Canis lupus familiaris: one gene and its partner. The protein of the gene in region 1 purifies or fractionates together with the protein of each later gene. This does not show direct contact. Links are inferred from orthologs where the notes say so. Each region holds a gene or a part of one and is shown on either strand. Other genes may lie near its edges.

Evidence for each region.
Region 2: the proteins of BMP2K (region 1) and REPS1 purify together in Homo sapiens (affinity purification with mass spectrometry; 3 studies listed by BioGRID and IntAct, counting the BioPlex papers as one, with this or other methods). This does not show direct contact. The link is inferred for Canis lupus familiaris from reciprocal best matches to the Homo sapiens genes BMP2K and REPS1.

What each region holds. Positions count from the first base shown.
Region 1 is NC_049253.1:36,918,518-36,922,340, reverse strand, and holds part of BMP2K (BMP-2-inducible protein kinase), read left to right. Parts: intron 1-819; coding exon 820-2,252; 3' UTR 2,253-3,823. UniProt on the Homo sapiens protein: May be involved in osteoblast differentiation.
Region 2 is NC_049222.1:31,378,558-31,382,380, reverse strand, and holds part of REPS1 (ralBP1-associated Eps domain-containing protein 1), read left to right. Parts: coding exon 1-91; intron 92-1,545; coding exon 1,546-1,610; intron 1,611-3,249; coding exon 3,250-3,435; intron 3,436-3,823. UniProt on the Homo sapiens protein: May coordinate the cellular actions of activated EGF receptors and Ral-GTPases.

The DNA of each region.
Region 1 (3,823 bases):
AGGAAGGGAAGGGATGATGTGTGGTTGGATCAGTCCAAACTGATCCCTACCTCTGGAAAATCAATTCAATACACCCAGTGTATTGGGAGGGCAATATATTTTCATGTAGCTAATACAATCTTTATTATATACCATACGGTGAAATTATATGGTCTTTGGTACAGTGAACATATTGGTAGTTAAGTTTTTTGTTTTTGTTTTTGTTTTTTTTTAAAGGTAGCATGCTTTTAATGGTAGTGAAGATATAATAGTTAACGGAAGATGTGTCATCTAGGGAAGGCAGATGTCCTTGGTATGATCTGGGTTCAGTACCTGGTTCTTGGCTTTGATCAGATTATGGGGATGCACTCATGTTGTTAACCTAAGCCATAAGACAACCAGAATGCTTAAAAAATTTAATTTATTTATGCTTGTTGATCTCTTTGGGAAAACTTTATAATGGAGTTGAAATAGAAGCAGAAGGTGATCTGGTAATTGTGGGATTCTGATTGGGGCAATTAAATAATCTATTCTGAAGGTAGGAGAAGAAAGTTTGCTTGTATACTATATTCAGAGTCCTGTTCTGGGTACTATACATAAGACCTAGCTGTCAGTGAGGGCTTAAGGTGAGTAGGTGGTGTGTAGGAGACAAGAGGCAAGTAAATCTCTCTCTGCTAAAGGATCTAACCGTCTAGTTGAGGACAGGTGCATTCCCTAAGGAATGCCCAATAACCAAAGAATTGACATTATTTCCTCTATGCGAGGGACTTGCAATACCTTGTGTTTGTGCAAATGGTTCTTGAAATGTATTGGAATAGTAATTTTTCTTTGAACTTGCAGGTTCTCCAGAAAAGAAAATTGAAAATACATCCGGGAATCAAGAAAATATTTCTGTTAACCCTATCAAGAATAGAAAAGCAAGTCCAGTATCTAAAGACCACCAGACCGGAAAGAAAACCTCGGAGAATTCATCAATACAGAGTCAAGTGCAAAAGCGGAATGACGAGTCTGAAAGTGATTTTGAATCAGATCCCCCTTCTCCTAAGAGCAGTGAAGAGGAGGAACAAGAGGATGAAGAAGTTCTTCAGGGAGAACAAGGAGATTTTAATGATGATGATACTGAACCAGAAAATCTGGGTCATAGGCCTCTCCTCATGGATTCTGAAGATGAGGACGAAGAGAAACATAGCTCTGATTCTGATTATGAGCAGGCCAAAGTAAAGTACAGTGATGTGAGCCCTGTCTACAGAGACAAATGTGGCAGTGGACCAATGCAAGATCCTAGTAACACACTCCTCTCCCCGACCCGATTACCCTCTGATGTTGGCGTAGAGGCTCCTAAGCAGGAGTTTGATGTATTTGGCGCTGTCCCCTTTGCAGTGCGTGCTCAGCAGCCTCATCAAGGAAAGAATGAGAAGAACTTCTGTCAACAGAGCCTCAGTCCTACCGTGGGTCTGGAGCAAGAGGAATTTGACGTATTCACAAAGGCCCCCTTTAGCAAGAAGGTGAGTGTACCGGACTGCCGTGCCGTGGGGCCCGAAGCACATACTTCCCCAGGTTGTCCAAAAAGTGTAGATATATTTGGCTCCACTCCATTTCAGCCCTTTGCCACATCGACCAGCAAAAGTGACAGCAATGAGGACCTTTTTGGGCTTGTGCCCTTTGAGGAAATAACTGGGAGTCAACAGCAAAAAGTCAAACAGCGAAGCTTACAGAAACTGTCTTCTCGCCAAAGGCGCACCAAGCAGGATCTGTCCAAAAGTAATGGGAAGCGCCATCATGGCACACCAACCAGCACAAAGAAGACTGTGAAGCCTACCTACCGCACTCCAGAAAGGGCTCGCAGGCATAAAAAGGTGGGCCGCCGAGACTCTCAAAGCAGCAATGAATTTTTAACCATCTCAGACTCCAAGGAGAACATTAGCGTTGCACTAACCGATGGGAAAGATAGAGGGAATGGCCTGCAACCCGAGGAGAGTCTGTTGGACCCCTTTGGTGCCAAACCCTTCCATCCTCCCGACCTGCCGTGGCACCCTCCACATCAGGGCCTGAGTGACATCCGTGCTGATCACAACCCCGTCCTGCCCGGGCGACCAAGACCGAATTCACTGCACAGCTCATTCCACAGTACAGATGCGTTGAAAATGGATGATTTTGGTGCCGTTCCCTTTACAGAACTTGTGGTGCAAAGCATCACTTCACATCAGTCCCAACAGTCCCAGTCAGTTGAATTAGACCCATTTGGTGCTGCTCCATTTCCTTCTAAACAGTAGATACTTCTGACAGACTCTTGGCGTTAACTCCTGTTTCAAAAAAGTATGAATAGTTTTATGAATTTGAAAGGAAATTTATTTGTATAGCTCTTTATATCATTCACTCGCAAACAGGTCAATCAGAAATAGGTGATTTTTAAATAAACCAAATAGAAAAAGGAAGTGTCTCCACAGAGTAGTGACTTGCTGTCTCTTCCGTGAAGGAGAAAAGGGAGCTCAACTGCTAGCTCTAACCCTGGGCTTCAGCCACCAGATCGGACTCCACAGAAATCCAGGGGGAGCACGCGCCACCTTTCCAGTTGTGTAGCCACTGAAAAGGGACTGGAAAGCTGTGTCATTATTTTTGTAGCAGAACGTCACTTGGGTGTGCATATTCTGGGCTCCTGCCTGTCAGGATCCAGCATTTAAAACTAAGGTTATTTGTACATACAGAGGTTGGATTTGTGAATTTTCAAAGGTCTCTTCTAATTTCCACACAGTAAAATCAAAATCTGGTTCTCCTAAAGAATGAAAAAAGTTACTATCTGGAGAGAGCAGAGATTTTAGTCCTTAACACCTTTCTCGACAGAACAGAGCCAGAAGTAATGGACTATTGTGCCTAAAACTGTTTTGTTTTTTAAAACAAGTGCCATTAATAAGGAGTATCTACACAGAAGCCCAGAACAAAAACCAGAAAAATACCTGACTTGTGGAAAACGTAGAAGAAAAAAAAATGATACAGAAGAGAGAAAAGCTACTTCAGGAAGTTTATATTGCTTTCGAATGGCTTCTTGTTCAAAACTTTTACTGTCATGTCCCTAATAAAGCAGATTGTTGGAAAATGGGGAGTGAGGACAAAGGTTGTATAGAAATTGTACTTCAGGAAAAAAATCTGTAGCTGAAACCCTGAGTTTTTAAGACAACATAAAATCATGTTGCATTTAACAATGTGCTTTATTAAATTACCACCTTCACCAAATATTCCCCAAGTCGTGAGTGACAACTTTCTAGTTAGGTTGGGAGGGTGGAATAGTTTGAATAAAGTGCACAGAACAGTGAAACCCAAAAAGCCTTAGAGGCAGGACTCCTGCATCCTGCTGCAAGTACCTCTGCACTGACACACAAGATCTTAAAATGGCTGTAAGGTATTAGATGATGAGGAACTAGCTTCTCAGTTCTGCTAGTTGATGCATCCAGTGAAAAGAACTTGGCTACCAAATTGCCTTTTTTTTTTTTTTTAACACCACAAATCCTAATTAGAAACTTGAGATTTTATAGAAATTGTTTAATAAGTTAGAAATTACTGTATGAATTAATGTGAATACAGTATCTGTGCTTCCTGTGTCTCCAGCTATTTTAAGTTCTAATTAACTGTCCTTCCCTATCAACATTTAGAAGTTTCTATAACTGTTATAAAGCTACTTACAGAAAGGGGTGGAAACTCTTATTAACTGGCTCTCTTCTTGATTGCTCTATTTTAAATGCACTTTCTTTGAGTCCAATTAAAGTGTATTTTATGAGTAATCTTATTAGGATCTCTTAATCACAGTGCCCCAAATGGAGTGAGCTATTTGCCTGTGATCACTGTTCTA
Region 2 (3,823 bases), on another chromosome or scaffold:
ACTGCACCACCACCTCCTCCTCCAAGACCACAGCCTTCTCATTCTAGATCATCATCTTTAGATATGAATCGGACCTTTGCAGTCACCACAGGTAGGGATTAAGAGCCATATCTATTTTCATTTGTTTTTTGTTTTTTTTAAGATTTTATTTATTCATTTGACAGAGAGAAAGAGAGCACGCAGGTACAAGTAGGGGGAGAGGGAGAAGCAGGCTCCCCACTGAGCAGGGAGCCCAACGTGGGGCTCAGTCCCAGGACCCCAGGATCATGACCCAAACCAAAGGCAGATGCTTAACTGACTGAGCCACCCAGGCACCCCTGATTTTAAAGTTCATTAAAGAGCACAACATTTTTATTTAATCTTTTCTTACTATGCCTTATTTTTTATTTATCTGAGGAAAAATTTTGAGTTTAGAAGATGTCAGATGAGAGGAAATTTTTTTTTCTTCATGTATTTGAGGGAAAATGATAGAGATGGGAACCTGAGAGTTGCCACAAGAGATTTTAAAACAACCATGTGGAGAGATCAAGGAGGGAAAGCTGGCTAGGTTTTCAGTTAACTAACAAAGGAGAGATAACACTCATAATTTACTTCAAGTTTTAATTTTTATATAACTGGTTTATTGTTAATAAATTTTTTTTTTAATTTTTATTTATTTATGATAGTCACAGAGAGAGAGAGAGGCGCAGAGACACAGGCAGAGGGAGAAGCAGGCTCCATGCACCGGGAGCCCGATGTGGGATTCGATCCCGGGTCTCCAGGATCACGCCCTGGGCCAAAGGCAGGCGCCAAACCTCTGCGCCACCCAGGGATCCCCTCTGCGCCACCCAGGGATCCCCTGCGCCACCCAGGGATCCCGTTAATAAATTTTGATCAAAACAGAAAAGTTAGAACCAAAGGGTGATGATGTTCTATTTTAGACGTCATAGGTTTGGAATGATGAGGAAAACATGACATAATAGTAGGCCATTGGACTTGTGGACTAAGAAAGATTGTGTTATTTAAGAATTATTTACTTAGAAATGATTGAGTGAAGTATTAAATGCAAAGAGAAAATTTGGAAGTCTGCATATTTTATAGCTGAAGAGCATTCAGAAATTTTAGAAAACCAAGAATGTATAGTATTATGGAAACAAGAATACCATGAGTGCCTTGTGCAATAGAACAAGAGAAATGCGATCTGAGATAGAGTGCCTGGGTGGCTTGGTCAGTTAAGTGTCCGACTCTTAATCTCAGCTCAGGTCTTGATCTCAGGGTCATGAGTCCAAGCCTCACATTGGGCTCCACACTGGGTGCGGAGCCTACTAAACAAAATAACTCCCTAACAACAACAACAAAAAGATAGATAATGAGGTCTCACAAAAGGCTATGAGGCTTGGTTACTAGGTCATATCTAGATAGTTTTACAGGATAATAAATGCCTTCCAATACTTGTCAAGCATTCTTAGAAGTCTTTGTCATTTGATCCCATTCACTCTGCTTGTTCGTTCTACTAGCAAAGTATGTGTTTACTAAAGAAAAGAAATGACTTGTGTATTTACTCAGGACAACAACAGGCTGGAGTTGTTGCCCATCCTCCTGCAGTGCCTCCAAGACCACAGCCCTCACAGGTAATTCTTCAGTGTGTTCATTACTGAACAATTATATTTGTCTGTTAGGGGTTTGCTTCTACTCTGGAATTATTTTGAAGATCAAGAATTACCCAATTAATCATTCTTAATGAGCATTTCATTTAGGGAAGCTGGGTCTTATTTTGGAAGTCCAGAGGAGTTACCTTTGAAAGAAACTTAAAAGTGGACCAAATGATAATGTCTTAATAATGGAAGGTTTAGTGGAGAGAACAGTGGGTTGGGAGATATATGTCCATGTATGTCCTGGGTCTAGCAGAGGCTCTGTGCCCTCCCTGCATCTCCCTGCCAAGGATGTTACTCCATCAGGAAAGAAAGTGTAAGAAGACCTCTGCATCCCTGCCAGGTGGAAATTGTTTTCATCTAGTATGTTCTGAGACAGATTCTGGATTATAGCTATAGTTTTATGTGACTGACTGGCTGGCTGCCTCTTACAAAAATGAATTTGGTTGATTTTTTTCTGAGTTAGATTCTGATCATGAGGTTGGTTACTTGAAGTTAGAAAGATGGTTTCTTAATCATAAAAGGTCCTGAAATTTGAATGTTTCCATATCTAGTTTATCTAAAATGCCAGCAAAAATATTTGTGTTGGGTTAAACTGTGAAACCCAATGAGCTAGTCACTTGACTCAAGAACGAGTTCAGTGGGGAAGACAGACCTGTAAACAACAATTATAATGGAAGGGCTATGCTAGATATATTTATGAAATGCTTTGGCACAGCTTTACTAGCTAGTAAAGTCAAGGATCTCATTGAAAAGGCATAAGTAAAATGAAAGAAGTAAGACTTTAAGCAGAGACTTGAGAGATAAAGTAGTGTTTCTTGGGGAGAGGGCACTCCAATCAGAAGGAATGACATTGCCTGGCATATTCAGGGTAAAGGAGTCAGTTTAGTGCAAGTGGAATGATGGGAGATGAAACTGAAGAGGTGGTTGGAAAGGGGCAGAGTATTTCTGTGTCGTACTCAAGACCCAGAGAGAGTCATGAGACTTCTCACGCTGCATTTTACGTTCTTGTTTACTTGTCTCTTACCTTGCTCTGGTCTATCTGCTTCTTTAGGGCGCAGACTTTATTTGTTCATTCACTATTATTTTCATAATGCTTGGCCACAAGTTAGATACTCGGTAAATTTATTTTTGAACTGAAGATTTTAGGATTGCTCCACCAAAGGAGTGGAGGACATACCAAAGGGAAGTACACTGAAGTATTGGGAGGATCCTTAGAGCAGTGGTTTTCATACTTTAAAATAACCCTTTTAGAAACATAATGAAACAGTTTAAAAATAACTTGTTAAAAGCACACACTATTCTGCGGTACCCTAATTAAGAAAACAGTGGATGCAAGTGGAGAATCAGACAGTAGGGCCATACCCTCCCTCTGCTTTCATGTACTTTCTTTGCAAAAAAGAATTTTGTAAAAGTATCTTTTTTATTGAAGGTTTGTCATCTTAATTTTTTTAGTGTGTCAGCATTCCACTTACGGATTTTAGAGCCAGATGCTACCGTCCCTTATCACCCTGAATTTACAGATAACAAAGCATATCTACAATATATGTTCAGAGAAGGTTGCGGACAGTGATTCACTAATAAAATATGTGTTCCTCTATCCTGATCCATCATGTAGGCTCCTGGTCCCGTTGTGCATCGCCCAGTGGATGCTGATGGCCTGATAACTCACACTAGTACCTCACCTCAGCAGATACCAGAACAACCAAATTTTGCAGATTTCAGCCAATTTGAAGTATTTGCTGCATCAAATGTAAATGAAGAACAAGATGATGAAGCTGAGAAACATCCAGAGGTCTTGCCGGTCAGTTTTTAAGGGCTTATGTAATTTTCTGCTGAGAAACTCTTCCCACATTATATTCATAAGCAGGTCTATAAACAGAGGAACCTCTAAAAGAGCAGATATTAAGAGTGACTATAAGTGAGTAAAATTGCTGCTGCTGCTGCTGCAGAGGATTTATATTTCCTACATCTGTGCATTTTACTTATTTGACCTCAGGTACCTGCTGGTTACGATATATGCTCAATAAGAATCAGAATCTGGGTGGGAGTTAGCTGTGGTGTGAAAAGACACAAACACAACCATCTGAGCGTGGCTAAAACACTGCTCCGGGGTTTGCATCTGATGTGTGATTTGGTGAAGATTTCCATGTAACAAGTGGTTATGGTTACCATAGCTACACTCCATTCAT